Astyanax mexicanus: one gene and its partner. Each later gene encodes a partner of the first gene's protein in a complex. Links are inferred from orthologs where the notes say so. Each region holds a gene or a part of one and is shown in the gene's direction. Other genes may lie near its edges. The genes, in order: ctnnd1 and cdh26.1.

Region 1 (15,622 bases):
CTTCAGGCTGATCACTATCACTATCATCACCATCACTATTGCCATGCCCTGCTGCCGGTCTGTACAGCGTTTATAACGAGTTCATCTCTCAGTGATAATGCAGAACGCAGATCAAACACTTACAGTGCGCATCTCTGATTTACTGCCCGGCGATCCAGCCGCTGAAGAACCTGAATGAAGCGCGCTCCCGCTGCAGACATGCACGCGCAGGAGGAGGGCGCGCGCGCACGTTCACGACAGCTGCTTATTCTTTTGTGTGTCTGAAGCTGGTTTACATTGTTTTAGTTTACATCGGCTTTAGGTATATATAAAGGCTATCTTTCTTTCTATTGGACAAAATGAATAAGGAATCCACTCTTTCTTTAATTCCCAATAGACTTCTTCCAAAGAACATTGAATAAACTTTCATTTTTGGTTGCTTTAAATCTTTTAAGGTTGATGATGGACAAACTAGCTTAACCCTTTCAGACTCTTTATCAATTACAATGGATACCATGCACTTTCTTTTTTCAATTGCTTTGTTGCACAGAACGCTAATTGAAACCTGTTGTCCATCAGAATAGATCATAAACCAGCCAATGAAACAGTAGCTTAGCCCCGCCCACTGCACTGGGAGAAAAATAATCAGCAACTCAGACATTAGGGCATGTCAGCACTTCAGGACAAAATAAGTGATTTAGATCATGTTTTATCATGTTTAGGAATACAAAGTTTTGGTCAATTTGATTTGTTTTAATATAGATTTTATACTATTTTGTGTGCATTATTACCGTAGACTGTATATAGCTGGACAGAGCATCGTCTCTCAAAAGTGAAGCCACCACAGGTCGGGCGCCCCCTGCTGTTCGGTTTCAGAAAGCTGTGTAACCCCACCCATCCCCATAGGTTTCAATGGCAAAACAGACTTTCAATCACGTTTTTTTCTAATATACTGTAATTCTACCTCCTTTATTTAAATGCAACAGCTAGTGTAACATCTGCTTATATTGTCAAATTTTTATATCCCCACAGAATTCGTTTTTTAAAATGTTATTCAGCTCTATTCAAAAAAGGTGTGGTTATTGTAAAACGGCTGGTTATGGGCGGGACCAATAACAGACCATCAGCTCCGCTCCGCCCCGCTCTGCAGTCTGTGACCGGGAGGCAGCCCTCAGGGGAGGGTTTATTTAAATGAGTAGGCTGTCTCTCCACAGCCTTTCTCCCTCCTCTGGACTCTACTGCGCAGAATCGGGTGTCAGGATCGCCAACATGGCGGAAGATTTTGGCTTCATTTTCATTGAATGAATGGGAACGGCGACACGGCGTCCATCTTTTTTTACAATCTCTGATTATTACAGACAGAAAACACCACTTATATTTTTCCATCACTGAAACATAATTCAGGTCTGAAAGTGTTAAAACAACCTTTAACACTACCTAATAGGCATTGGTTGATTATAAAATTCTGACAAGGAACATGTAGATAGATAATATATAGCTTTTTAGTAAATTGTCAAGTGTCCAGAAGTGCAGAGTATACAGTAAAGTGTCAATAGTGCAGATAAAAGATTAACCTCTGATCTAACATCAGCTGCTCTCCTTTCTCTTCCGGCCAAACAAAGAAAAGTTGAAGAGACTGATGGTTATTATTTACATGGTTATTATTTAGATGTCCCTTATACACTGCAAGACCACAGTACAGTCAATAGGATAAACATACAAACAACATATACATGTATTTTTTAATGTTTATTGGTTACAAAGTAATTGCAATTTACATGAAAATAGCACATTAATCAATCTCTATCAAACAAACTGTCACAGCTTAGCCCATGTCTGCCTTGTGTTTCTCCCTCATTTGGTCTCTTGTGCTCCTGCCCCTCTGTTTACCTGTCATGTTTCCCAGCCATGTGCTTCTGTTGTGTTTTGGTCCTGTCTCCGCCCTAGCCCCACCCTGTCATTAGTGATTTGTAACCCCGCCCCCTCTTGATTGATCCTCAGGTGTTTCCAGTTTCTTGTTCCCTCCTCATGTATATAAGCCCCTTTGTTTCAAGCCTTCTTTGTCTAGTCTTTTGTTGCTTTGTTTGCTGTCTGTGTTCAGGTTTGTTTCATGCTGTTTCTTAGATTCTTGTTTTCAAGTTTAGTGTTTTGTAGTTATGTATTCAGTGTAACTTTGGTTTATTTTGTTTGTTTGTTAATTTGTTTTAGTTTTTATTAATTTAATAAAATTAATTATATTCTGTCCATCCCCTCACTTCTGTAACATAAGACTAGACCCAAAAATATGGACGTAGCAGAATATCTTCGCAGAGGTGGGCAGAGTTTGGGGGAGGAGTACCTTCGAAAGACTGCTTGAACTGGATGAATACCTGTTCCAGGCTTCCCAAGTGCGTGGTCCATCCTCCCCAGCTCCAGCAGCACCCGCCGCCTCTGCTTCAGCGCTGCCCAAGCTGCACCCGCCGCGCCTGCCCAAGCTGCACCCGCCGCGCCTGCCCAAGCTGCACCCGCCGCGCCTGCCCAAGCTGCACCCGCCGCGCCTGCCCAAGCTGCACCCGCCGCGCCTGCCCAAGCTGCACCCGCCGCGCCTGCCCAAGCTGCACCCGCCGCGCCTGCCCAAGCTGCACCCGCCGCGCCTGCCCAAGCTGCACCCGCTGCTACAGCCTCAGCTCCAGCACCAGCAGCTCCTGCTGCTACAGCCTCAGCTCCAGCACCAGCAGCTCCCGCTGCTACAGCCTCAGCTCCAGCTCCAGCACCAGCAGCTCCCGCTGCTACAGCCTCCGCTCCTGCTCCTGTGTCTGCAGTGCCTGCCACCCACGTGGTACCCACTGCTTCAGCTCCAGTGCCAGCGGTGCCCGCCGCTCCTGTTTCTGCAGTGCCTGCCACCCACGTGGTACCCACTGCTTCAGCTCCAGTGCCAGCGGTGCCCGCCGCTCCTGCTCCTGTTTCTGCAGTGCCTGCCACCCACGTGGTACCCACTGCTTCAGCTCCAGTGCCAGCGGTGCCCGCCGCTCCTGCTCCTGTGACTGCAGTGACTGCCGCCCATGTGGTACCCACTGCCTCTGACCCTGTGCCCGCGGCTCCGGCCGCCTCTGACCCTGTGCCCGCGGCTCCGGCCGCCTCTGACCCTGTGCCCGCGGCTCCGGCCGCCTCTGACCCTGTGCCCGCGGCTCCGGCCGCCCTTGTGCCTGCTCCCAGAACTAAGCACACCCCCAGGTCGTGTGCTTCCAGACCTGCTCCAAGATCTCCTGCTTCAACCCCTCGAACTCTGCCCAGGCTGGTTCCGCAGACTTTGAACTTCACCAGTCCTGGGCTCCAGTCTATGTGTGTGTTTGTACCCATGTCTCTCCCTGTCCTGGTCCCCGTGTCTGTGTTTGTTCCCATTCCTGTCCCCAGTGGTTTTTCTATTCCCGTCCCTATCACCATATTCGTGTCAGTCCCAGTAAGTGTGTTTGTCCCAGTTCCCCTGCCCAGTCTTGTCCAGTCCCAGTTCCCGGCCACTGTCCAGTCTGTTTCAACCCCTTGTCCAGTCCCAGTTCCCTGTGTAGTGTCCAGCCCCCTGTCCAGTCTAGTGTCCACTCCTCTGTCCAGTCTCAGCCCTTTGTCCTGTCCATGTCCCCTGTCCAGTCTCAGCCCCCTGTCCAGTCTTTTGTCTAGTCCTTGTCCCCTGTCCAGTCTCAGCCCCCTGTCCAGTCTTTTGTCCAGTCCTTGTCCCCTGTCCAGTCTCAGCCCCCTGTCCAGTCTTTTGTCCAGTCCTTGTCCCCTGTCCAGTCTCAGCCCCCTGTCCAGTCTTTTGTCCAGTCCTTGTCCCCTGTCCAGTCTCAGCCCCCTGTCCAGTCTTTTGTCCAGTCCTTGTCCCCTGTCCAGTCTCAGCCCCCTGTCCAGTCTTTTGTCCAGTCCTTGTCCCCTGTCCAGTCTCAGCCCCCTGTCCAGTCTTTTGTCCAGTCCTTGTCCCCTGTCCAGTCTCAGCCCCCTGTCCAGTCTTTTGTCCAGTCCTTGTCCCCTGTCCAGTCTCAGCCCCCTGTCCAGTCTTTTGTCCAGTCCTTGTCCCCTGTCCAGTCTCAGCCCCCTGTCCAGTCTTTTGTCCAGTCCTTGTCCCCTGTCCAGTCTCAGCCCCCTGTCCAGTCTTTTGTCCAGTCCTTGTCCCCTGTCCAGTCTCAGCCCCCTGTCCAGTCTTTTGTCCAGTCCTTGTCCCCTGTCCAGTCTCAGCCCCCTGTCCAGTCTTTTGTCCAGTCCTTGTCCCCTGTCCAGTCTCAGCCCCCTGTCCAGTCCTTGTCCCCTGTCCAGTCCTTGTCCCCTGTCCAGTCTCAGCCCCTGTCCAGTCCTTGTCCCCTGTCCAGTCTCAGCCCCCTGTCCAGTCCTTTGTCCAGTCCTTGTCCCCTGTCCAGTCTCAGCCCCCTGTCCAGTCCTTGTCCCCTGTCCAGTCCTTGTCCCCTGTCCAGTCTCAGCCCCCTGTCCAGTCTCAGCCCCTGTCCAGTCCTTGTCCCCTGTCCAGTCTCAGCCCCCTGTCCAGTCCTTGTCCCCTGTCCAGTCTCAGCCCCCTGTCCAGTCCTTGTCCCCTGTCCAGTCTCAGCCCCCTGTCCAGTCCTTGTCCCCTGTCCAGTCCTTGTCCCCTGTCCAGTCTCAGCCCCCTGTCCAGTCTCAGCCCCCTGTCCAGTCTCAGCCCCCTGTCCAGTCCTTGTCCCCTGTCCAGTCTCAGCCCCCTGTCCAGTCCTTGTCCCCTGTCCAGTCTTTTGTCCAGTCCTTGTCCCCTGTCCAGTCTCAGCCCCCTGTCCAGTCTTTTGTCCAGTCCTTGTCCCCTGTCCAGTCTCAGCCCCCTGTCCAGTCTTTTGTCCAGTCCTTGTCCCCTGTCCAGTCTCAGCCCCCTGTCCAGTCCTTGTCCCCTGTCCAGTCTCAGCCCCCTGTCCAGTCTCAGCCCCCTGTCCAGTCTCAGCCCCCTGTCCAGTCTTTTGTCCAGTCCTTGTCCCCTGTCCAGTCTCAGCCCCCTGTCCAGTCTTTTGTCCAGTCCTTGTCCCCTGTCCAGTCTCAGCCCCCTGTCCAGTCTTTTGTCCAGTCCTTGTCCCCTGTCCAGTCTCAGCCCCCTGTCCAGTCTTTTGTCCAGTCCTTGTCCCCTGTCCAGTCTCAGCCCCCTGTCCAGTCTTTTGTCCAGTCCTTGTCCCCTGTCCAGTCTCAGCCCCCTGTCCAGTCTTTTGTCCAGTCCTTGTCCCCTGTCCAGTCTCAGCCCCCTGTCCAGTCTTTTGTCCAGTCCTTGTCCCCTGTCCAGTCTCAGCCCCCTGTCCAGTCTTTTGTCCAGTCCTTGTCCCCTGTCCAGTCTCAGCCCCCTGTCCAGTCTTTTGTCCAGTCCTTGTCCCCTGTCCAGTCTCAGCCCCCTGTCCAGTCCTTGTCCCCTGTCCAGTCTCAGCCCCCTGTCCAGTCTTTGTTACCATTCATAGTCCAGTCTCCTGTTTTGTCATGAGTTCCTTCGTCCTAGTTCTGTCGTCTTGTTCTCTGTTCCCTCTCTCTGCGCCTCTGGTAGTGGTGTCGTTGAGGGGGAGTTATGTCACAGCTTAGCCCATGTCTGCCTTGTGTTTCTCCCTCATTTGGTCTCTTGTGCTCCTGCCCCTCTGTTTACCTGTCATGTTTCCCAGCCATGTGCTTCTGTTGTGTTTTGGTCCTGTCTCCGCCCTAGCCCCACCCTGTCATTAGTTATTTGTAACCCCGCCCCCTCTTGATTGATCCTCAGGTGTTTCCAGTTTCTTGTTCCCTCCTCATGTATATAAGCCCCTTTGTTTCAAGCCTTCTTTGTCTAGTCTTTTGTTGGTTTGTTTGCTGTCCGTGTTCAGGTTTGTTTCATGCTGTTTCTTAGATTCCTGTTTTCAAGTTTAGTGTTTTGTAGTTATGTATTCAGTGTAACTTTGGTTTATTTTGTTTGTTTGTTAATTTGTTTTAGTTTTTATTAATTTAATAAAATTAATTAAATTCTGCACTTACGTCCATCCCCTCACTTCTGTAACACAAACCAAAAATATTTGCTGGTAGCACACCAAATAGTAAATAAGCATGAGTGTTATAAGCACTAAAATAAAAATAAATAAAGCTATCAATAAAGAAGTAAAATAAATGTTACATTGCAATAAGTCAATCAGATTTAAATATCCCACATTTTAACTTATAACAATATATACAGTATTGTGCAAAAGTTTGGGAATATCAGTAAAGGAAAGCTTATCTGTGAAGTAAGTGTTCAATATCTCACTAAAGCATTACAATAAATACAAACAGCAATTTTACAAAAAGCAGAGCTTTTAAAGCCCTGTTGTCCTTAAAACATTTCCTAATCTCTCCTCATTTGAGTTTAATAGTTATTTCTGGTTCTCATCATATCAACCACAGGTTTGGTAAATTAGGTGAGCTGCTGACGGAACTGAACATATACACTTGCTAACTGAGGAACATCCAGGAGAAATCTGGAACTACACTTTGTTCTTCAGCTTGGCTCACAGGACATACCATACTTAGCTAAAAATTAGAATTTCTTGTTACATTTTACTGTATGTATGTTTATTTACATCTGTTTAAATCATATGTGGTGCTTTTTTCCGGTAAAAACACTCATTGCTGAGATAAATGGACTTTCTTTGTAAATATCTATTTATTGTTTTTTTTTTCTTTTTACCCAAGAACAAGTACAGCACACATAAACAAGTAAAGAAATAAAAAAACATTGAACAACAGAATAAAATACAGTAAATAACCCAACACATTTTTCCATTACAAGGGGTATGAAGCTGTTGTAGGGTCTGGCAGTGATGGCTCAGGTGCTCCGGTATCTTCTGCCAGATGGCAGCAGTGAAAAGAGTCTGTGTGAGGAATGGGTGTGGTCATCCAAAATGCTGGTGGCTTTGCGAATGCAGCTTGTGCTGTAGATGCCGATGAGACACCAATGATCTTCTCAGCTGTCCTCACTATCCACTCTACGGTCTCTCAAACCAGAAGGTAATGTAAGTACTCAAGATGGTCTTTGCAGTCCCTCAGACTTAACAATCTGGAGTTGGGACAGCGTCAATATCTCTAGGAAATGTCTTTCAGAAAAATAAGAAGAAAATGGAAGAAAAAAATAATCAGTCATTATAAAGTTGTGCATCACAAAACCATATTAAACAAAAAGCAGTGATTTTCTGCACTTTTAATGTACAAAAACATATTGACCAAATCTGTTAAACCTGTCCAATGCTGTTTTTTATGCAATTAGCTGTTGAAATGTATATGCTTCTGGTTTTACTCTGCATCACTGTGCATCTGTTTTTCGTGAGAAAAAAAAATTATTTTTTGGATTTTTTGAACTGCTGCCTATAACTACACTCTTCAAAAAGAGTGTTTTTTTGAGCAATGACATAGAATAATCTTTTATGGTCCCTTAATAAACCCTGCTTGTGATAAAGGTGTATGTATGCAAAAATAAAACTTTAAAGTGTCTAAAGAATCTTTATGTAAAACAATTTAATATAAAAGTTCTTTACCAGTTTAAAGTTTCTTCATGCTGTGCTCAGTAGGCTGTAGTCAGCACTACAGCTCAGTAGCTTCCCATATATGCAGTCCGGAGGTCTTTGGGAAGTATTAATTATTCACACAATAAGATTTATTCCTAATAATGGATCCTCATTGCAACATATCAGTGGTAATGCAGTAAACTGAATAACTAAGAGCGGCTTTGATGTTGAAAAAAAAAACTAGGTAATAGTTGAGTAAAAGAGGAACTACGTTTCCTGGCAGGGGTCACACACACGCACTCACACACACAGCTTCTGACAGTCACATGAAGTTTGCTCTGAGATCACACAGAGTTATTTCAGTACTCAGACAGATACAATCTCATGCAATGCACAGACACACACACACACAGGGAGGCTGGCTTGTTTACAACATGCTTTTAAACAGCATGTTTTTTTCTTTTACAAAAATGTGCAAACAATAATGCATAAATACACAGTAAGCATGATTGACAAATACTACTACTACTACTACTACTCACAAGAAGAAGAAGAATGAAAAAAGGAAGAAGGAGCTTCATAAAACCAAAAATAAACAATTAAATAAAAAAATACATAAATTATAAATACATACATTTTTTTATATATTTTTTATATTAAGTGTTTTTTTCCCTTTTATTTAATATATTCTAGAATTGAGAACATCTGGCAAGGTATTTGAAAGATAGCAATGTTAAATGTATAAATATGAGTTTATGCATTAAAATGATTCCTGTCTTTACCCGATCAGCACACCTAAACTATTTTTGTTGTGGACAGTGGACAATTCAGTCCACATGCAGAAACTAACTGAAAAAAAGATGTTGGAATTCACTGATATAGGTAATTTAATATAAATACATCTACTTATGTCACTAATAGTAGATTGGCCCCACCATTTAACCATAAAGTTGAAGTGCTTAAACCTGGTTTTTGTACCATTAGAACAGAGGTAATTTAACTGTATCAAGGCCTCTAAGATGGTATCATGTAAAAATAAATAAAATAATGCATGGCCACGACTTGTTGTGGAAATTAGATCACTAAACTGTGGGAATGAGTTATCTCGTTCCCATGCCTTAGTAAGTTTGGTTGTTATACCTGGCATTTAATGTTCATTTTTTAATATAATGCAGTATACATATAGTTGTTAAAAGCACAGTGTGCATACTTTTAATGGCCAGAGGGAGGTTAAAAATTAACGTGGAAATAAACACTGACAGTCTGCGCCTCCTGTTATTGATCGTGAGGTGGCGCTCTCGCACTGTTTGTTCAGGTCTGAAGCGCCTATGCTTTTCATGGGATTTGTGTCCAAAACCGCTGTCCACGTGATGAAAACCACACTGGGGGTGTGACGAACTGTTTCCCGCCCCGCCTTATGTGTTTATCAGACGCGAAAAACACAAAAATATCGTTTAAACGAATAAAACGCGGGTGTTTGTAAGGTTTATAACATGTTTTAAATCCCGGAAGGAGCAGGAACAGTGAGTGCGGTTCTCCAGCGGGCGCTGAACTCCCCGCCCAGCCCCGCCCCGCCCTGCTCTGTAATGCGCGCGGCTCCGGCTGCGCAGGGGAGGGGCAGGAGGGTCAGGGGCGAAACTGGGGAACGAGGAAAGAGGAGTGAACAAGGCGAGGAGGAGGAGGAGGACGGGTAGATAGCTAGGTGGGCTTTTTTATGAAAGGACTGCCAGATTTTTATAAATCCACTCCGGCCTACGGATTTCCCACCTTCTTTACATCTGTTTGAATGGGTTCGATAGAGTTAACGTAAAGTGAAAGGCGAACAGAGAAGATCCGCGTTGGTGGCAGTGCGCACGGGCTGAAACGCCCAAATTTAGACCAGTTTGGGATTACGGTGACTTCCCAGCGCTTGGAAAAAAATCACAGTATCTGGAGCCTGTTTCGATAGGCCGAGACCGCAACCACACCATCGGACTTGCACAAAAAACACAAAGGTAGACTTTCGAAACTGCTTATTTTTCTCCAGTCGTTATGTTAATAGAAACGGTTGTGTTTTTCTCAAATCGCGCGTGTTTACACAAAAGCCCTGCTCGCTTTTGTTAGTTAGGAAAACTTGGAAGTTGGCTATGCTAAGCTAGTTAGCTAGCGTGCTAACGCTTTAGCACTCAGGTTAGCATGCTAGTGGTGTTAGCATAGCGCTAGCAGGTTTGTTATCTAGCCGAGCTACCGCTAGCAATAGCGTCTCACGGACAGCCACGACTCACATTTGCCGCTAGCTAGGTGTGAAGATGAAGCTGAAAGTTAAAGCTAACAGCTAGCGATATGATTTGTTGATAATGTAGTTACTTATTTTAAAGTGAATTATTGTGGATTTTACACGTTAGCTATAAACTTGCGTAGCTATTAGACCTGTCGAGACAAATACATTCGACTCATACTGTTGGTTAGTGTTAACTAGCTAACCTATGGGATAACTTATTATAGCTCGGTTAATAGCTAGCTAGCTTAAGGCTAACTTATTGACTTACATTTAACTAACCTTTATTTACAACATATTTGGATAGTTTATTTTACTAATTAAGTTTTTCTTCAATAATTCGTGTAGTTAATATTGTGGCCGTGAACGTAGTTAACTTGTATTTACTGAAAACAGGGAGTTATTTAGCTTGCTAACCAGAAACCGAGCTGTTTATTTTTTATTTTAGTGTTTTGCCTAAATTTGTATTAAATATTTAGCTTGGCTGTTATAAGTTATCTGTTTATTTAGGATTAAATGTGCTCTTTTTATTGAACTTACCTATTATTGTGTTTCAAGATAATGAATGCCTACATTTCCTTCTAGCGTATCTATACTCTAAAAATTAGTAGTCATACTCTGCATTTCCAGCAAAAGCTTACTAATAGCTATGTTAAACACACAGCTTTGATACTGGGACATTTTATGTATGGCTTGTAAATGAACACTTGATCACCCGGCGTGTAACTGTATGAGGGGAATCCTCAGCAGTGTAGTAGTTACCCATGACAAGTAGTTTTAGCCTAATAAAATTATACAAGTGATGTAACCTAGCCCAGTAATATAGTTCTAACCTAGTTTTAGTACTAGTGAAAACGAGATATCTGTAATGCGGAGTAGTGCTACTACAATTTCTAGCTTTATATGATGCCTATATTTTTTAACCTGTAATGATATCAGATTTTTTACTTGCAGAATCTGCAAGTAAAAGTCTCAAATCACTGCAACTCGGGAGCACCTGTTAAAAAATATTTGGTTTGTTTCTTTCAAAATATAGCTCCTTTTTGGTGCTGAATAAGTTACCTGTAGGTCCTTATTCAGCAAGGTAGTTTGCTAGGTTAAGGGTTGCAGATGTGATCTTGTCTTGGTTGGAGATGTTACCTGTGATTTTTTTTTTTTTTTTTTTTTTACTTTTAGATTCTTTTGGGATTCAGTGAGGAGTAAACACGCCTTGGTTTATTGTTTATTATCAGTAAAGTTGCATTGTTTTTTGGTGATGAGGTGAAAACTGTGATTGTGATGTAGATTACTTTGTGTGTAATTTGCACGGACAGTGTTGGGAGAGTGTGAAGTTTGTGAGAACCTGTTGAGTAGGTGCTGGTGAATGGGTGTGTGTGTGTGTTTGTGGGGGAAGGGACAGGCGTGGTTCAGTGTGTGTGTGTGTGTGTGTGTGTTTTTTTTTCTTTGTAGACCGTCTTTTCTTGCATTTACACACAATACAGTGTAAAACAGCCAGTCAGCGTGTGGAGTGAGTGGTCAGTGACTAGCTACAAGCTCACTGATTTTACGGTTCGTCTGACTTGGCTGATATATTTAGCATGAGTCACTGGAGATGGGTTGTGTGTGAGAGAGTGTGTGTATGCAGTTTTCACGACTTAAAAGGAAAAATGTTTGATTCCCCCCCTCTGAGTGGCCTGCGGGTGTGTCTACCTTGACCTGTGGCTGAGAGAGGGAAGGGCATGTTAGTACACGCCATGTTTTTCTAGCTAACCAACACTACTGTACAACACCTTCACACGCCTCAGTTGTTCTGAATTAAGTTTAAAAACGCTAGTTCTGAAGAAATGTTGTGAATAAGATGGAGTGCTCTTTTTGAAAGACGTAGTCTGTAGTTTCCTCCATTTCTTTTTTTCTGAAACGGTGTAATGACCGGGTTTACTGTTACAAGGGTGTGTCCGTCAAACACGGAAGGGGGTTGAGTAGTTTTAAAATACACGTCTCTGCCCGGCAGTCACCACAGACTGTGTGGATTCACAAAAACCGTGTACAGTAAAAATACATGGCTTTTAAACAGCTAATAAAGCACAAAGATATCGGACAAACCACCGTTTTAGCCTGAGGGAACTCCTACAGGTAAACCGGTTGCTTTTTCAATTTGGAGTTTCGTTTAAAAAGGGCTGCGTCATCGGCTGGCGCGTTAGCGCCTCAGGTAAAGGCTAATGGCTGAATGGCTAACCAATTTCACCTTCAGCTCCCAAACAAAAGGTAGATCTGTTCCAAAACTTTAGGATTAAATGGTGTATTCTTTCTTACAGAGCCCCTGAAGATTTTAACCTCTTAACAGGCCTGAATTTTTGTCAGTTGTCTGCCTGACATTACACCACTAAATCTTGAGGATTTCTATTTAAGCACTACTTAAAAAGTTTTCATGTTTGATAAGGAACATTACCGAGAAGCGTAATTGTAATATAAAATAAAAAAACATATATTTAAGAAAATCTGCTAATTTCAAAATATAATTAATACAACTATAAAATTGTATTTTTCCTGAAATTCATTTTAAAATCAATATCTTCCTGAGTACAATTCAAACAGTTCATGTCTTCCAAACCTTTAGTTTAGTTGGTCTAGTTTTTAGATCTGTTTTCGAACATATAGATTTTGGGTTGATTTCACACATTCTCTGTGTCCTGTAGGAGATTTCAAAGCCCTTGAAGTTTTCAGAATGTAAAGATATGTTAAAGGGCTAAGAGTCTTAAAACATTCCCATTAATTTAAGAGATTCAACACTACTCACCACAATCAAATTATTATTATAAAAAATGTAGGGCTGGGTAATACTGTAAAAAAATCTTGATATTCCTTAACTAAGTTAAATAGTGATTTAGAATTCCATTTCGACCATAGAAAATGCAGCTTAGACACGAAACCCTAAATATGGACATATGGGGACTAGAGAATGATTCATGACTGCAGTGGTCTTTAGTAAGCAGCCCTGTCAAATTTACATTCAACCTAAATATTAAACACAGTGCCAACATAACCTCCTTGTATTTCAGTTAAGGAAAAGTGCACAAAATCAAAATTACATTAAAAAAAAAGTTCTTTACTGGTTTCTGACAGACGCACAAGCCTATCTACTGAAATTCCCTCTGGCAGCTTCTACATATAAATATTTTTTAAAAGTTTTTTTTTTTTTAATTTTAAAAGTCACGTTAAAACAATAATTTAATTAACCTCCCAGCACTGCAATTCTTATTTAAATGTCTCTTCCTACACCACTAGGTATAAGAATAGCTACTAAGAATACAAACAAGACATATGTAAATATATTAAAAGTAAAGTAAACTCATCAGTTTTATTAAACTAAGAGAATCAAAATTTTACTTAACTGTTTTTATATTTTTGTTGAATTGTGTCATAGTTGGAGTAGTTAATGAGAAACTAAACAGAGTTTTGCACTTATGAGGAGAAAGTTGGTTTTACAGAAAGATATGCATGAAGGGATTAAAGAGTAAAATTGTTAATCATGTTAATGATTAATCTAACGTTTTCTGTCATAGCCGCTTCAGTCCAATTAGTGTCAAAGCACTTTATTAAAGAATCCAGATTTATGGACTATATATTGTTTACCAAAGGATGCATTCGATTGACTAACAAACCTCCCAGAAGCTCTAAATGTCTCAACTTCTGGTATGTCAAAGTTACTCAACAACTCGTATGAATGTGTGTGACATTAGTTTTGCTTGTAGGAGGGTTGGAAGTATGTGTGGTCTCAAAGTTCACAGAGGCGTTAGTTTGGAGTCAGGCCAAAACGGAGGGATCGGCTTTTCACATTCAGTTTTAACCTGAGTCAGCAAGCATGGGGGACCCTCATGGATTGTCCAGCTTTACAATACCAATGGCATGAACATGCACTGCGTGTATGAAGAATTGTGGGAAGTCATTATTATCCCACTAGCACACCAGAGTTAATTTGTTCTGCCAGCTTAAGGTATAACTGCGACACATCTTTTGGGCACAATTGCAAAATGCCATGCGCTGTGATAGGACTCAGTAAATGCAGGTAAATTTTTTTGATATTGCTTATTACTTTGCGCAGTGTGGGAGGTAGTATTGTAAAGAAACTGCTTTGAGACTTTTTTTTTTCTTGAGCGCTGTATCCAATAGCTGCAGCATTTTTTAATCACATTCTGTATTTGTAATTCTTATTACTACGTGGTCTGTTTACTCTAATACTATTTTTCTTAAGATCTTAAGATTTTCTGTTCAAGTCTGGTCTGGTTTAGCAAACTGTTTGCAGTGCATGGTCTACTAACTTTTCTCCATCTGCCTGTCTTAGTGAACAGAAGTTAGCTTCTTACCACGTGTTTAAATACCTTAATGTTCAATCCCCTAATTTTTGTTCCTCGTTAATCCACAAATTCAGCCTAGAAGTTAACAGCTGTTGTCTCAGAAAGTCTCTCTTCGTGATATATGAGCATCTCAGATGACTGGCTGGTACATCTGTGTTCAGTGGTATGCAGTAAGCGCCACTTGTTTGCCCTTTTTTTTTGTCAGGGTCTTGCACATGGTCATAGGTGAAAGCGGCATCTTTATCACTTCATCAGCCATACCGTTGAGGCATGATCTGGGTTTCGTCTAGATCTGCTCTGAGTGTTTGCAGTAGGTGTGTAGATTGTGGATGTTAAGTGGCTTAACAGTCTAATACCTCAGCTATCCCATTAGCAGAGACACACACGATTAAGCACCCATGCAAATTGAATTAGTTTGGCCTAATATGGCTTAGTGTTAATGCTGCTGTTTCTGTATCTGTGCTGGTCTCAGTCATAACTGAGATTTGTTTTGTCGACGTCACAGTGATGGCATTTGTCAGGCTTTTTCGAGTGCTCAGAGCAGTATCAATGGGCTTTTGATTCTTACTTGCAGTATCACTGGAAGAATATCATGTACTAGTGTTGAGTTTTGGTTTCAGTAGGGGTGGTGAATAAAAAAACTTAGTCATTTAAGAAGGGAAAACTTTAAGAAAATAATCTGGTGATGTTGTGAATGTACACACATTGTGCTATTTACTTAACAGTAGGGCTGTCCCTAACGATTATTTTTTAAACGATTATTCTAACGATTATTTTTTTCGATTAGTCGACTAATCTATTCATTGAGAAACATATTTAAATAATTATTTTACGTTTTAAAGCAAACGATAAATTACTATATTTATATATAATAACAACAACAACAACAACACAAGCCTACTAAACCAAACCCCACACTTATAATCACTTACATGTACAGCACGTTGTTTAGATCTATAACGCTAAAAATGGATAAGCTCCCATACACCACAACCGTGTGTTGCACTGTTTTCTGTGACCGCTAGATTTTGTGACCACTGGCAAGTAGTTCTCAGCAGACCGGTGCACTGGCCGATTCGAAACGTGTTCGTTTCTAATGTTTACCCCGACTGGCCAAAACGGTTCAGTTTAGGGCTGAGGGTAAGGTGTAGGTATAGAAAGCTTCCGTTTTGCCAATGAACGCTCATAACCGTGAGCACTGGTCACAAAATTCCGACGGTGACAGAAAACGGTGTGACACCGCAGCGCCGACGGCGCTAGCTAAAATAACTTAAGGCAGCTAGCTTAGCTAAACACCTGAACTTATGAATAATGCTACTGTTTCTGGAAACTGCGAAATGCCATGCACAAATATAAACCAAAAATGTATAATTTCTGCCTGTGGCAGGTTTAAAACCTTTGGTAGACAGTCTTAAGTCTTTTTAAGGACACCCGCGGAGACCCTGATGTAAACGGTAACTTACTGTGTGACCCTGTTGACATAGTGCTCCTGGATGTTTGCGCTTCAAGTGCTCCTTTTGCACGTATGGCAGAGGACCACATTGTTGCCCTTTTGCGTGAAATGCTCCCAAACTTTAGATGCCCGC
Region 2 (15,796 bases), on another chromosome or scaffold:
CAATGTTTTTTTTTTTTTTTTTTACATTGTGGATTAATATTAAAACCATGAAAACTATTAATTGACGCATATGGAATTATCTAGTAAACAAAAAGGTGGGCTTAACAATCCCCTGACCTAAACCCAACTGAGATGGTGATTTGGATGAGCATACTCATGTTGGTATAATATATATAACATACGTATATGTATTATTATATTATTTTTATATTTTTTATATATTATATTTTTATATTATTATTAATAATTATAATAATAAATTAATATTACTCGCCAAATTACTATTAATAATATTAGTATAATATATATTAATATAATATATATATATTAGGGGTGTCACGATTCTCTAAATCCTCGATTCGATTTCATTTTCGATTTGAGGGTCACGATTCGATTCGATTCTCGATTTTCTTGTTTTTTTTTTCTTGTTATTATTTTATGCCTCATAAAATTTAAATAATATATTTATTATTATTATTATTATAAATATTATAAATATTATTATTATTATTTATTAAGATATATATGGTAATGCCATCTAGTGACTTTTTTTGGTAGCAACAGTGTGCACTATTAAAACAAGCAGTTTATCAGAGCTGTGTGTGGATGGCTGGTGAAACTGCTCATTACATGAAGCTGCAGTTCTTCATCCAACCACTAGCAGCAGCAGCACAAGCCCCGCTCTCTTCACTCAGTCACTACTTCAGTACAGCCCAGCCACGGGCTACAGAGCTCAGCCAGTCCGTTTTTACTGTTTCTGTAAACAAATAAAGGTTTTAACCCCACTAACCGGATAATACAGCTCACTACAGTTCATCTTTCAGCCCAAGCAGCTAACAGCAGCAGGTTAGAACAGCCGACACGGAGGCACTGCTCGGATTACATTATAAACAGGTCAGTTAGCGCGCTGCTAACCTCAGGATGTTTATAACTACGGAGTTTAGTGGACACACCACGGCCGCCAGGTAAGTCTTTTAAAGGCTACTGAAGACTATTAAAGGCTATTAGAGGTTATTGAAAGCGTTATTGGGGGGCAGAAATCAGTACAGGCTGGTTAGATAAGTGATGTGGTGAAACTGTGGTTAGCGCTGTCACAGTGATGTTTATTAACGTCATTAAAACAGATTTTGTCAGGTATTGTCTTATAAATATTTACACATAACTTATATCTCTCCTGAAAAGCTTTTATTTTAGTCAGAAACACGCTTGTGTTTACTTTATCTGAGAGAAAGATGTTTTTTTAATTCAATGGAAAGCAACAGGTGTAGTCAATTATAAGTTTAAGATTTTTAATCCACCTCACTGTGATCTATAGTCAGTGTTCTCAAGTCACACTGACACACGCATTTCAGCGAGTTCACACGCTCTCACCTGCGCGCACCCACCCCTCCGTTAGATACAGATACAAAACCTGCGCGCCCAACCCCCGCCCCCCCTCCCCCGTTGGACAGATAAAAAACAGTGATCACACTCCCGCCGACACTCAAAACTTGAGAGCCCTGTCTATATTTCTATAAATCCGTTTTCAGTTTCTCCTCCGTGGTTGAAAGGCAGCTGTCTCTCACACAGCAGAACTGAGGGCGGGGCTGCGCTCATGCAGTGGCTATCTCTATTTAAATGAATAGGATGCGCTGTGTTGGTGCCGCGCCATTTGCGTAGCGCGCTGCGCTATTTGCGTAGCGCGCGCGGGAGGGATCGTCGATCCTCTTTTTGACTTCGATACTCGAGACCATGACCTCATTTCGATTCGATTTCGATAAAATATCGAGATCGTGACACCCCTAATATATATATATACATATTAGATTTTTTATTATTTATTTAGTCATATGTATCTTTAGGAGTATTTTATTAATGCCAAAGTAAATCCTTTTGTAATTTAAATTTCAGAATATGTATAATATTGATGATTACAACACATTTCTACGTTTTTAGGGTGTAATAGTGAATAAATACTGCATATTGGCAGTGTTGAATCGATATTTGTGGATCGATTGAGTGCGCTGTTTTGGGGGAGGAGTCAACAAAGACGCTCTTAAACCTCGTTCGTTAATTTCCGCTTTGCGAAGCTCTTTGGGAAACACTCGCAGAACTGGCTCGTTCTTTACTCACGTCATTCGTTAGTTCGTTCGTTATTCGCTAAGATTGATCGTTTTCGGGAAACCCACCCCAGATCAGTAAAATACATTCAATATATATAAAATACATTTCATTCATAGTAAATGAATAGTAAAGTGATCTTTCAGACTGTAATGGAACACATAAGGAATCATGTAGTAACTTAAAAACAGTGTTAAACAAACCAAAATACTCATCAAATATATCAGTTTCTGTGGCAGGTAACTCTGAATAACGTATCCTGTACAACAGAGGAAACTCTCGCTCTTTCTTTCCAATCCTGTGACGGTCCTGATGAGTGCCAGTTTCATCTTTATAATAATAATAATAATAATAATAATACATTTTATTTTTATAGCGCTTTTCAGGATACTCAAAGACGCTTTACATTGCATAAAAAAAAAATAAATAAATAAAACACAATATGAAAATACATAGTAAATAATCAACATCATCATCATCATCATCATCAACATCATCAATACCATACAATAATGTTTTTGATGGTCTTTGTGGCTTCTGCACTTGAGGAAACCTTTTCAAAGATCTTGAAATTCTTTTTTTTTCCAGATTGACTGACCTTCATTTCTATTCTTAAAGTATTTTTTCTTTATTTAGTTGAGTAAATATATATGCAATAATACTGAGCCTTTTCTCTTTGGATACTTGTATATTGTATTTTTTACCATCCGTTTCTTGTGTGTATTTCATGTGTATATTTCTTGTATGTATTTTGTCTGTGTATATTTTGTGTGTGTATATTTCGTGTGTATATTTTATCTATGTATTTCGTGTGTATATTTTGTCTACGTATTTCGTGTGTGTATATCTTGTGTATATTTTGTCTGTGTATTCTGTCTGTGTATTTTGTGTGTATATTTCGTGTGTATATTTTGTCTATGTATTTCATGTGTATATTTTGTCTACGTATTTCGTGTGTGTATATTTCGTGTGTATATTTTGTCTGTGTATTCTGTCTGTGTATTTTGTGTGTATATTTCGTGTGTGTATTTCTTTTGTTTATTTTGTGTGTGCATTTCTTGTGAGTATTTCTTGTACCCTGTTATGATCTATCTATCTAGTTGTTTCTTCTCATAACCTGGATTCGAACATTACTCAAATATTCACTATTCACTGTATACCTGTAACTCTACCTCTTCACTACTTTACTTTAACTGATGCTCTCAAACACTTTATTAAGAGACAAGAAATTCAAGTAATTAACTCTTGATGAGTTCAGCACAGCTGTTAACTGAAAGCCTGAATTCCAGGAGACTCTACCTCATAAAGCTGACTGAGAAAATCCAGCAGAGATGTTCAAAACTGATCATCTAAACAAGAGGAGATACTTTATAGAATCTAAAATATAATAAAACATATTCTGGTATGGTTTGGATGAGTTTAGTATTAATCTACAATACAGAACATTATAAAATAAAGTAAAAACACTGAACCACTCAGAATAAACCCCTCCGTCATTCTGCCCCGCCCAGAGCAGAGCTTTATTATAACAGAGGGAGGAGCTGATGGATTTACCCGGTAGGAGATATATATGTTATTTTATGTTGATTTTAGAGGAATAAAGATCTGTCTTCACCTGTTTTACAGCAGATCTGTGATCAGAACTGTGATCTGTGTGAACTGTCAGTTCAGTTTTTTTACTCGGACTGATGGTCTGATGTTTTCTTTGAGATGATCTCAGGAATAATGTAAAGATCAGAGTGATGAGAGAGGAGCTGCTGATGAAGCACTACTGAGATTAATGTTATTACAGTGATTAACCTCAATCACCACCGATATTCACTACTGTAGAAACAGAGAACAGGGGAAGAGTTTTTATACAAAGCAGAAGAAATCACTACTTTCTTTCACTCTCACTTTCACTCTATCATCACTCTTATCTTCCTCCTGCCTGGTTTAAATAGTAACAGAGCTTTAAACAGGAGTTTTGCTTGTTTATCTTGGTAACAGAAAACACAGGAGCTCCACTGACTGAATACAACCTAGACAGACGCCAACAGTCAGACGTTCATCGCTATCTTGGCAACACGCAGCAGTGCACAAATCTAACTTTTACATCAACAATAAACAGAATAGTAAATAAAATAACATTGCTGTTCCCGTAAATGAGCTGCTGGAGCTCCTTCACAGCATCAACCAGCAGCTCAGTTTCCTCTGCTGAGAAGAGTTTGTTGGACACATCCAGGTAGCTGCACCGTTACAATAGCAATCCGCCAAAGTCAGAGCTCACCTGATCTACTCTTAAAGAGAATGATGAACAAGAGACACTCTGATTGGTTTATTCTTTCACATTACGCCCAAAATTAATTAACCACACCCATCATTAATTAAGAGAATTAGTGACATGACTTTTGCTTTGCTTTTCAAGGCACGCAAGGTATACTTTTCCCGTCGTTACGATAGCAAAGACACACTGGCGTAATATGATGGAATTTATTTGAGGGGGCAATTTCTCATCTAAAATGTTTACACACTAAATTATAATATATTTATGGTTGTTTTTTTTTTAATTTGGTTGGTTAATATGTAGATGATTTAAGTGGATATTAAACCATCCAGGCGCTGTTTGGTTGATAAGCAGTTCAGTTTGGAAGTAAGAAGGCCGGCTATTTAGCTTCTCTTCTCCAGTTAGCGTTAGCTAGCTGGCTAGCGTTGGCTAGCTATCTTAACATGGCTAGGGTTAGCTCTTTAGCTAGCATTGGCTCTTAACGTTAGCTCTTATAAGTAAATAATGCTAGCTATGTTAAGATAGCTAGCTAAATAGCTAATGCTAGCTATGTTATCTTAACTAGCTATCTTAACATGGCTAGCATTAGCTCTTTAGCTAGCATTAGCTCTTAGCGTTAGTTCTTAGAAGTGAATAATGCTAGCTACGTTCAGATAGCTAGCTAAATAGCTAATGCTAGCTATGTTATCTTAACTAGCTATCTTAACATGGCTAGCGTTAGCTCTTTAGCTAGCTATTTTACACATCATGGGAAACACTTTAAAACAAGACTACCTTTATAAAGGGTTTATGAAGGGTTTATAAACAAGTTTAGTAATGGTTATTAAGTAGGTTGCAAATCCTTTAAAACCCATTGATAAGCAGTTAATTAATATATAAACACATAAATAGAAATGGCAACAGTGAGCTGAAAATTATAATAAAATAGCAAAATAATGATTCCACTCTCATTTATACTGTTAAAAATCATATCCTTCTAGATCAGGGGTGTCCAAACTACGGCCCGCGGGACATTTGTGGCCCGTTTCCTTTTTTGGAGCGGCCCACGAGGTATTTTAGAAATAGAATGAAAGTTGTCCCGCTGTTAAGCAGGTTTTATAATGTGAGATTCAAAGTTTGAACGCTAGGTGTCAGAAACGGGCCAAAGAGTCTAAAAGCGGAGAGGGTGCGCATTTCTAGCGCAGAAAAACGGGCCAAAGAATCTAAAAGCGGAGAGAGTGCGCATTTCTAGCGCAGAAAAACGGGCCAAAGAGTCTAAAAGTGGAGAGAGTGCGCATTTCTAGCGCAGAAAAACAGGCCAAAGAGTCTAAAAGCGGAGAGAGTGCGCATTTCTAGCGCAGAAAAACGGGCCAAAGAGTCTAAAAGTGGAGAGAGTGCGCATTTCTAGCGCAGAAAAACAGGCCAAAGAGTCTAAAAGTGGAGAGAGTGCGCATTTCTAGCGCAGAAAAACGGGCCAAAGAATCTAAAAGCGGAGAGAGTGCGCATTTCTAGCGCAGAAAAACAGGCCAAAGAGTCTAAAAGCGGAGAGAGTGCGCATTTCTAGCGCAGAAAAACGGGCCAAAGAGTCTAAAAGTGGAGAGAGTGCGCATTTCTAGCGCAGAAAAACGGGCCAAAGAGTCTAAAAGCGGAGAGAGTGCGCATTTCTAGCGCAAAAAAAACGGGCCAAAGAGTCTAAAAGCGGAGAGAGTGCGCATTTCTAGCGCAGAAAATTGGGGCAAAAGAGTCTAAAAGCGGAGAGAGTGCGCATTTCTAGCGCAGAAAATTGGGGCAAAAGAGTCTAAAAGCGGAAAGAGTGCACATTTCTTGCGCAGAAAAACGGGCCAAGGAATCTAAAAGCGGAGAGAGTGCGCATTTCTTGCGCAGAAAAACGGGCCAAAGAGTCTAAAAGCGGAGAGAGTGCGCATTTCTTGCGCAGAAAAACAGGGCAAAGAGTCTAAAAGTTGCCGTAATTAAGGAGTTAAATATTAAGAGACATCATGAAATGAAACATCAATTTGAAAAATCTTAGTTTACACAACACTGTCAAAGATAAAGATAGTAAATCAAGTAAAATGGTGTGTAAATGAAATAATCAGGAAAAAGTATTATTTAAAGTGGTATATTTCATTATTTGTTTTATTACAGAGTCTGTGGTCCGTGACTTCAAATATATTTCTCCTTCTGGCCCCCAACAAAAAAAGTTTGGACACCCCTATCCTAGATACTGATTTTACTTTGTGTTTTCCATCAATCAGCATTAAACCTGTAATATTAATATATTTATATGTATGTTTTACTATTTACTATAAATTAAATGAGTAAGTTGCCACTGTTGCTTTTTTAATTGATGTGTTTTAACTGATTATCAATGGTTTTTAAGGCATTTACAACCTAATCAATAATAAGTAATAATCTAATTTACAAACCATTTATAAACCATTTATAAACCCTTTATAAACCCTTTATAAAGGTGGTCTTATATTAAAGTGGTGCCGCCTCCTGCTCTGTTCTTCAGAGCTGTATGGAGGACGCTCACACCTGGTCACTGGTGAACGTTGGTGATGTGGTGAAGAACACAGGTCCACTTCCCCTTAAGCCTGATCACACTTCCTTCACAGGTGCTATCACTTTCTTATCCAATCACATACTTCCTCACTGGGGGTCCTTAGTAATCTCTTCTTTACACATTTTACAATGAGCCACAGGACATATATTTATGTTGTATGTTGGTATGTTTTTGTCGCAGGACTTTCTGCACAATCACAGATACAGAAACATTGTACTCTCCATACTCTCCACACCTTCAACCTCCAGCCAGAACACTGAAAAAACCATGAGTAAAATTTACTTAAAAAAATTTTTCACAACTTTCTGCATTTGCTTTTTTTAAGTAAATTTAATTTCAGATAAATTTAAGTAACTTCAACTCGGTTTCAAGACTTAAATAGAGTTACACAGAGTAAATAAGAGAACTGAACTTCAGTCAATCCTTTCTTTTAGTAAACTTTACTTCATTTATTTTTACTGATTCAATCCTTTCTTTTAGTAAACTTCATTTATTTTTACTAATCAATCCTTTCTTTTAGTAAACTTTACTTCATTTATTTTTACTGAATCAATCCTTTCTTTTAGTAAACTTCATTTATTTTTACTAATCAATCCTTTCTTTTAGTAAACTTTACTCATTTATTTTTACTGATTCAATCCTTTCTTTTAGTAAACTTAACTTCATTTATTTTACTGAATCAATCCTTTCTTTTATTAAACTTTACTTCATTTATTTTACTGAATCAATCCTTTCTTTTAGTAAACTTTACTTCATTTATTTTTACTGAATCAATCCTTTCTTTTAGTAAACTTTACTTCATTTATTTTTACTGAATCAATCCTTTCTTTTAGTAAACTTTACTTCATTTATTTTTATTGAATCAATCCTTTCTTTTAGTAAACTTTACTTAATTCACTTGTTTACCTTTTTTCAGAACTACAGTTTTTTACAGGTTTTACAGGTCTAGCGGAACCCATGTTCCTTACTAGTGTTGCATAATGTGTCTTAAAATCCAGTGTGAAAAATACACCATTCTCCATTGGCTCCTGGTACCATATATTTACATACTGTGTGTGTAATAGTGAACCTGGTGAAAATCTTCAGAAGCAGAATTAACGTTCAGTATTTCTGCCGTACCTCACCTGACCGTCCTGTTCCTGCTCACCTGAAACCTGACCCTTAATTAAAGAGAAGAGGAGAAGAGGAGGAGGAGGAGGAAGAGAAGGGGGTGGAGGAGAAGAACGATAGAAGAGGAGTATTTCTCTTTTCTCCAGTAGAGCATGTCAAACAGGCCACTCCCACACCTGTCCCCTCAGGTGTTCTCCACTCTCACATTTACATTACCAACAGAAAGAGAGAGAGAGAGAGAGATAGAGTGAGAGAGCGAGGGGGAGAAAGAGAGTGAGGGAGAGAGACAGCGATAGAGAGAGAGAGAGAGAGAGAGAGAGAGAGAGAGAAACAGAAAGAGGTCGAGAGAGCAGAGGTTGGAATTGATCTTTAAAGATCTGGTTCAGCTGAAGGTTGTGGATTATTGAGTCTCTCGGATCTTCAGGATGAGGATTACCTTCATTTTCCTCCTTCTGACAGTGAGTACAATATATTTACAATATATTTAAGATATATTTACAATTTATTTGTGATATATTTACAATATATTTATCATATATTTACAATATATTTATAATATATGTCCAATGTCTGAAGGATCAGCTCTTAACCACAGCGCTAAATAAAACATTAGAGCGAGTAAAATCCTGTTAAATACAGAGTAAATATATCAGACTGTAAGAAGCTCCACACAGCAAAAACTGATTCTGATTTTCTTAAATTCACTTAGCTGTAGTTTAAATATCACATTTCTCATAGATATTATTATATAAGACTTATTATATATTATTAATGATAAGCTTACTGTTTATTTACTTACTACTAAAAGTGCCTTATTCTATTTTCAGATCATTTTGCTTCTTTTTAAAATTTAACACTTTCAAAAAAATAATTTGTCATAAATAATACTACTATTATTACTGCTTCTCTCCAATAAAACTGCATTTAGATTAATTTATTGGGGTTTTATTTAGTTATTTTGTGATGATATACAGTATAAATAACTGGGTATATACTGTATTTTATATATTTTGTATAATCCTGCCTCCTGGGCAGGTGTATAAACCTGCAGCCGTTCCACTGACTGATAATGATTCATCCTCAGAGAATCTGTTAGATCTAATCAGAAAAACAGACACCAGGATGACACATCAAAGAGCAGAATAACAGATAAATGACAGATAATATCAGTAATACCTGCACACTGCAGGCCTGCACACATACACTTTAAATATATTTAACCAATTAGAGTCTAGACCCATTACTGAACACTGATACTATATACTTAATTGTACTTAAAACATATTAAGAAATGTCTAAGTATGCTGTAAATATACTAACAGGTTTATGTACTTTACGAAAAAATATATTAAAAGTACATTAATATTTTCAAATGTAACAACTGTTACAGCAGGTTACTTAAAATATAATGTATCATGTAACTTTTTAGAAAGTAAGTTAAATTACTACATTGATAAATTATAAAATATATATATTTAGGTATTACATTAATATAACAGTTAAAGTGTATTTGAATGCTCTGTAAATATAATTAGGAAAAGACAAGTACAATAAATTATAGGATACAGTGTTAAATAAAGTAAAGTAAATTTGTAACATGCTAAAAATTGTAATACAGTATATTAAAATATATTTTTACCTAACGAATACACATACACGTTAAATATATTTAACCCATTAGATCCCAGACCCATTACTGAACACTGATACTCTGCCCTGGTTTAAAAAAATATATATATACTTAATTGTAGTTAAAACATGTTTAGAAATGTCTAAGTATGCTGTAAATATACTAACATATTTATGTACTTTGTTAAATATATTAAAAGTACATTAATATTATGCTTTCATCAAATGTAACAACTGTTACAGTAGTTCACTTAAAGTACAATGTGTCATGTAAGTTTTTAGAAAGTAAATTAAATTACTACATTGGTACATTTTAAAAAATATATATTTAGATATTTAATTAATATAACAGTTAAAGTGTATTTCAATGATCTGTAATTATAATTAGAAAAATATAAGTATAAGTATAACTAGAGGATACAGTGTAATTTGTAAGACGCTAAAAATTGTAGTACAGTATATTAAAATATATTTTTATACAAAATGAAGTATACTAGAAGTGTGATTCTTACAAAAGACAGAAACAAGAAGCATGTATATTTGTACTCTAATGTAAATATATCACATGTATTTAACATTAATTCTTAGTACATGTCTAATCTAATATACCTGGTTTATAATAAAGAGTGATACAGTTGTAATACTCTAATAATTAAATGTATTATAATTTTACTGTAAGCATATTTAAAATATGGGGTTACATCATACCTGTCAAGTCTCCCGTTTTGGCCGGGAAACTACCGTATTTTACTCCTCTTTCCCGCCGTCCTCCCGTATTAGTATTTTCCCGTAAATTTCCCGTATTATATTACAATAAAAATATATATATTATTAAGGAGACAGGGCACTGACCGCTCTGTGTCTCTTAACCAATCGTGGAGCCGGTTCAAGGAGAAAGTCCCGCCTTTCAGGAGAAACAGCCAATCAGCTTGCAAGGAGGGTCAGTGTGGGGAAGCCCCGCCCTCCTCGCTGTGAGTTCAGGCAGCTAGTTGGAGCAGCTGATGTTAAAACATACATGCAGCGATTTTTCTAAAAGAAAGGTAACGGTAGTCTAATCATGGAAACTGTGATGAGATTTTTCTGATAGCTGCTTAAAAATACTCCGAAATAAAACACACAGATTAAACCTTTTAAAATAAAAAAAATTACAGCTTGTGACTCAGTTTAACTAGAAATGTGGAGAGAACCGACATTAACTGAACTGATCAGGGGTGGAGTGATCAAAAGGAAGAAGTATTAATTAAAAATTATTAATTGTGTAGGCCCCTTAGGACTAATTTTTACTGATGGAATATATCTGGTCCATGTCCTTTTAGTAAAAGCTCATAATACCATTTTTAGGTCACCAACAGTCATTTTGCAGAATGTTTTAAATCCATTTTAAATCCATTAAATAAATAAAACATATATCATATAAAAGAGTGCATTTATTACAAAAAAGACATGAAATCTTAAATAAAAAAAAAATATATAGAAAAGGGTTTTTAATTTGGCTGTATTAAAAGAATGACATATGTAGGAATGTCCACAACATGTTCAGATTCTGATTATCTAATTGTTGTGTGTAAGTGGTTCACATGTGTTTATTTTAGATTTTTTGTAAACCTGTTTTAAAATGTAAGGGATACTGAACCTTCGTTGGGCTGGTGGGACGACTTTAAGCGGACAGAGGAAAATATCCCTTATTTTTAAATCTAAAACTTGACAGGTATGGGTTACATACATGACGTAGTTTAAATATTACTTAACTATATGTAAAATACTGTAGTTCCATTTTAGTACAGTTAAGTACACTTAGCACAATTTAAGTAAGACTTTTGTTTTATTTTTATACTGTAATTAAATTATAATATGTACTAAAAAAGCTGTTTCATTTTAGCACTCTTTAAATATACTGATTAAAAATTATGTGTCTACACGAACACTTTAGTTCACCATAGCATAATAATGCTTAGTATATTTTAACCTACTTTTATTTCACTAGGGCGAGCCCAATTTAATGCCTGACCGTTAATCCCACCACCTTTCTCGGGTCGAGAAAATAATCTGTGATGTAGGCCGTCTGTTTTAATGCTATTTTTAGTTTATATAAAACTATGGTGTAATAATCACAATATAGTAAAGTAACAAATCAAACTGTGTTTTAAATAAAAGTTGCAGAAGTTAAGAAAATCACACAGCTCTCTCTGCGCAGTGTGTTTTCACACTTAGGATATATGCTTAAAATAAAACATTTGCTTGTGTAGAAAGTATTTTATATTTTTAAACCTTGTTAAATTATATTAGCTTAGAGTTAATGATTGTGCAGTGTAAAGATATTTTGCTGTTTTTTTGTGTTTTTGCACTTTAAGGCTTTATAAAGCTTAATATAAAAAAGTTAGTTTGTTTAGAAGGTATTTTAGATTCTTAAACCATGTAAAAATATATTGGATTAAATTTATTCAGACATCACTCCGGTAGTTTAATTCTAATTTACTGATGTTTAGGCCCGTGGATTATTGTTTGCATAGTTTGTGTTTTAATCTTTTTAAGAGATCTGTTCTTAATAAACATTTTTATGAAATAATAACAGGTCTACGCTTCTTCAGTGTTGCAATGTTAATTTACATCATTCTGTTCACCTAAAAATGATTTTAAAAGCTCAGTTTTAGCGCTTTACTTACTTAAAAAAATGTGGGGTTTAATTCAGCCTCGGGCTCATTATCTCAGCAGTTGATTCACATTTTGTTCTTACTGCGATACTACAGGTCACTTTACTAAATATTTTAATATTAAAATCCTGATATAACATTAATTAAGAGTAACAACTATATAACTTTGAATTTGAACATTTATATGGTTATATGGAAGGTAAAATAATTGTGAAAAGAAAAGTAAAATGAACCCTGTGACCTTTCAAATTTACACCCATGACAATGTTTTTTTTTTGGCATGAAATCCTCAAACCTGGCAACTCGGACTGAGAGAGGAGAAGGTATCTGATTACAGATGCAATACAGGAGCGCAGTACAAAGCAAAATATTAATCATAAAATAAGTGAATAATATTAATAAAATAAACTAAAGTACTATAAATAAAAATGTTGATGTATGTATGAATTCTATCAGTCAGGTATTAAAGAGCAGTAAAGACACTCCACTGAAGTACAGAGTTACACAGGAGTTTCAGTTTAGTTCTCCAGCACCAAGGATCGAGCAACGTTAGCATTAGCCGCTAACCACAGCGCTAAGCACTAGCTCTTTCACCATTCAGAGGTGAATCTATCAGACTGTAGTTTGCATGTTTACCATGTTAAAACAAACAAACCGCCAGCTAATATCACCCTGGCTTACGAAACACTCATGTAATGCTAATGCTGCTGCTCCTAGCCTTAGTGCTGGAGAAACTTCACTGAAACTCACCCTTATATATAAAACATTAGAAATCTAAGCTTACTGTAAATAAACGGTGGTTTACTCACCCAGGAGAGAAATCTGTGTAGATTAACATCCAGCACTCAATTAACTTAAATATAGGAAATATATATATATATATATATATATATATATATATATATATATATATATATATATATATATATATATATATTTTAAAGAATTACAGTTTTGTTTACTTAGGCGCTTCCCCCAGCTTCCCCATTAGAAGAGAAACATGGCGACACCCTTGTTCACTTCAATTTAGAATCCTTACTAATGCCGCTTAATATCGCTTTATAATCCTATGCGCCTTATTTATGAAAACAGACCAGAAAATAGACATTCACTGACTATAATTTGAAAAACAGTAAAATTATTACAGTAATAAAAAAGTAATAAATAAATAAATATGGTAACACTTTATTTTAAGGAACACAAATCAGGCACTTATTAATGTCTTATTATTTGCTTAATAAAGCCTTAATTAGACATTTGTAAATTATTTATTCACTACTTATTAGGCTTTATTCTGTGTTATTAAGTGTTATTGGTGCTTTATTAGTGGTCGGTTATGTGGAAATGATTAATAATGGCTGTATTAGGTCTCATACTTCACAATAAACGGCATGTATTATTGGGAATAATTAGATATATTAATAATTTTATATATTTAGGAATAATTTAGTATATTTGGGAATATTTAGATATATTTTGAACAATTTGGTATATTTAGGAATAATTTTGACAGACTTTGTAGTTCTTTGTAACTAATATCCTTTACAAACAATAATATATGGCAATATATTGGAAAATATATTGCAATATACTAAATAACACAATTTCAGTTAATTAAGTGTAATAAAATGTCCTAAAAAATAACAATATCCAGCCTGTGTGAATGATTCTTATTATACACTTTGTAATTTTATATACTATTTTATATATAACTATTAAAATGTTCTACAGAATCTATTTAGAACCATTAAAGTTTAGCTGTGAAGGTAAAAACAGTGGTTGTAGTGATTGGCAGGCAGTGGTGTTATCCACTGCACCACAACAGTGAGCGATAACATCATGTGGGGGACTGGGGTTCAATTCCCGGTCTGGGTGACTGAATGCTGCTCTACACCAATAAGAGTCCTTGGGCTGGACTCCTAACTACACTACATTAACCCAAATCTGTAATAAAAATAACCTGCAGCTGTAATTAATTGATTACTTTCTTTATTAGTGATTAATCGTAAATATAATTGTCTGATTATTTAGTCGAATACTAAAATAGTGATATGCTGCAGCTGTAGTGTGTACGCTGGTGTAAGTGTATAATACGTGGTTATAGATGGTTAAATGTGGTGATTTGTGTGATGTTGGTGTTTTGATGATGAGGGTTTGGAGTAGCCAGTATGAATTTGACTACAGTTTCCTTTAGTTTTGCATAGAAGCTCAGGTTTATTTCAGATAGAGCTTTAGAAGCTGCTGCACATATACACACACATTACACACACATTACACACACTACTGACGATCACAACTAATAGTTACAGATAAGAAAAATACACAGCAAAAACAGGAGAGTTGAAATTTCAGAGTTAAACAGCTGAGAGTGTAATTTTAACTCTTTCAGTGTTAAATGGTGTTCAGTGTTGGAGTTATTTGTCAGAGTTGAATATTTCAGTGTTAATCCCACTAAACCCAATAAATACTGGCCAACTCCACAGAGATTTAATTAAACTCCGCCCAGTTAAACACGTTATTTGCATAATGGGTGTGTCCCCCAGATCTTAACTTACCATCAGTGTGAAATCTTGCCCACCAGGGCTCCTTCCATTGGGTATTGTGTTATATTTTGTTTAATGGTTGTTTGTCTAGCTAATATGTTGTAGGCTATAAGAGCAAGTTACCATCGTTTGTACAGTAAATTGTGATAAAGTGTTGGTAATGCACTAAGAAATACAATGGAAAATTACACGCTAACCTGTCCTGAATAATAATTCAATAATAAAAAGTCATATTAATATACTAATCTTCTTCTCATTTATCATTTTTTTAACTCTTTTCAGTGTTAGTGTAACAATTTAGGAAGTTAAAGAAATACAAATGTGAGTTAAAAAGGAACTCTGGCAAGGTGTTAAATGTTTAACTATTTTGAAAGTGTTGATTTAACTCCCTGAAAAAGAGTTAAAATTAACTCTGTGGGAGTTAATTTAACACTTGCCTTTTTGCTGTGTACCTGTTTAAAAACTGGTTCATTGTAGATTCAGGAGAGATTAAATTTGTGATAAACAGTTTAACTTAAAATAATAAATAAACACCCACACACATTGTCAGTCCTGATGCTGTTAGTCTGTCTGCTCTGGACTCTGAACTACACAACAAAACTCCACTTCCCAGCATGCACTCACACCAGACTTCCCAGACTCTGCTGATCATGTGACGCTATGGCGTTCTCGCTCCCCCAGTTACTGATTGTTTGCACCTGGTCTGTCAAATACCCCTCAGTTTGCTCTGTTCTCTCACAGAGTATTGAATCTAGTTATCTAGCTCTTCTACAATAAGTTTCCTTTGTTTATTGCTTTTTGTTACCGACTTGTTTTAGTTTCAGACTAGGCCATTTTTTGCTGGATTTATCGCGTATGACCCTGTTTTTGCCTGACTATGCTCTGGTATATTGTTTATATTTGCTGCCATACTGTTACTGACCCTGCCTGTCCCTCACTCCTCCTGTAAGTC

The links.
Region 2: ctnnd1 (region 1) and cdh26.1 share a complex: the UniProt entries of both Homo sapiens proteins name them as parts of the cadherin:catenin adhesion complex. The link is inferred for Astyanax mexicanus from reciprocal best matches to the Homo sapiens genes CTNND1 and CDH26.

Annotation. Positions count from the first base shown.
Region 1 is NC_064414.1:44,246,168-44,261,789, forward strand, and holds the start of ctnnd1 (catenin delta-1), read left to right. Parts: upstream 1-9,078; 5' UTR 9,079-9,439; intron 9,440-11,789; exon of another isoform or gene 11,790-11,814; intron 11,815-15,622. UniProt on the Homo sapiens protein: Key regulator of cell-cell adhesion that associates with and regulates the cell adhesion properties of both C-, E- and N-cadherins, being critical for their surface stability.
Region 2 is NC_064420.1:51,240,387-51,256,182, reverse strand, and holds the start of cdh26.1 (cadherin-like protein 26), read left to right. Parts: upstream 1-8,305; 5' UTR 8,306-8,446; coding exon 8,447-8,479; intron 8,480-15,796. UniProt on the Homo sapiens protein: Cadherins are calcium-dependent cell adhesion proteins. They preferentially interact with themselves in a homophilic manner in connecting cells; cadherins may thus contribute to the sorting of heterogeneous cell types.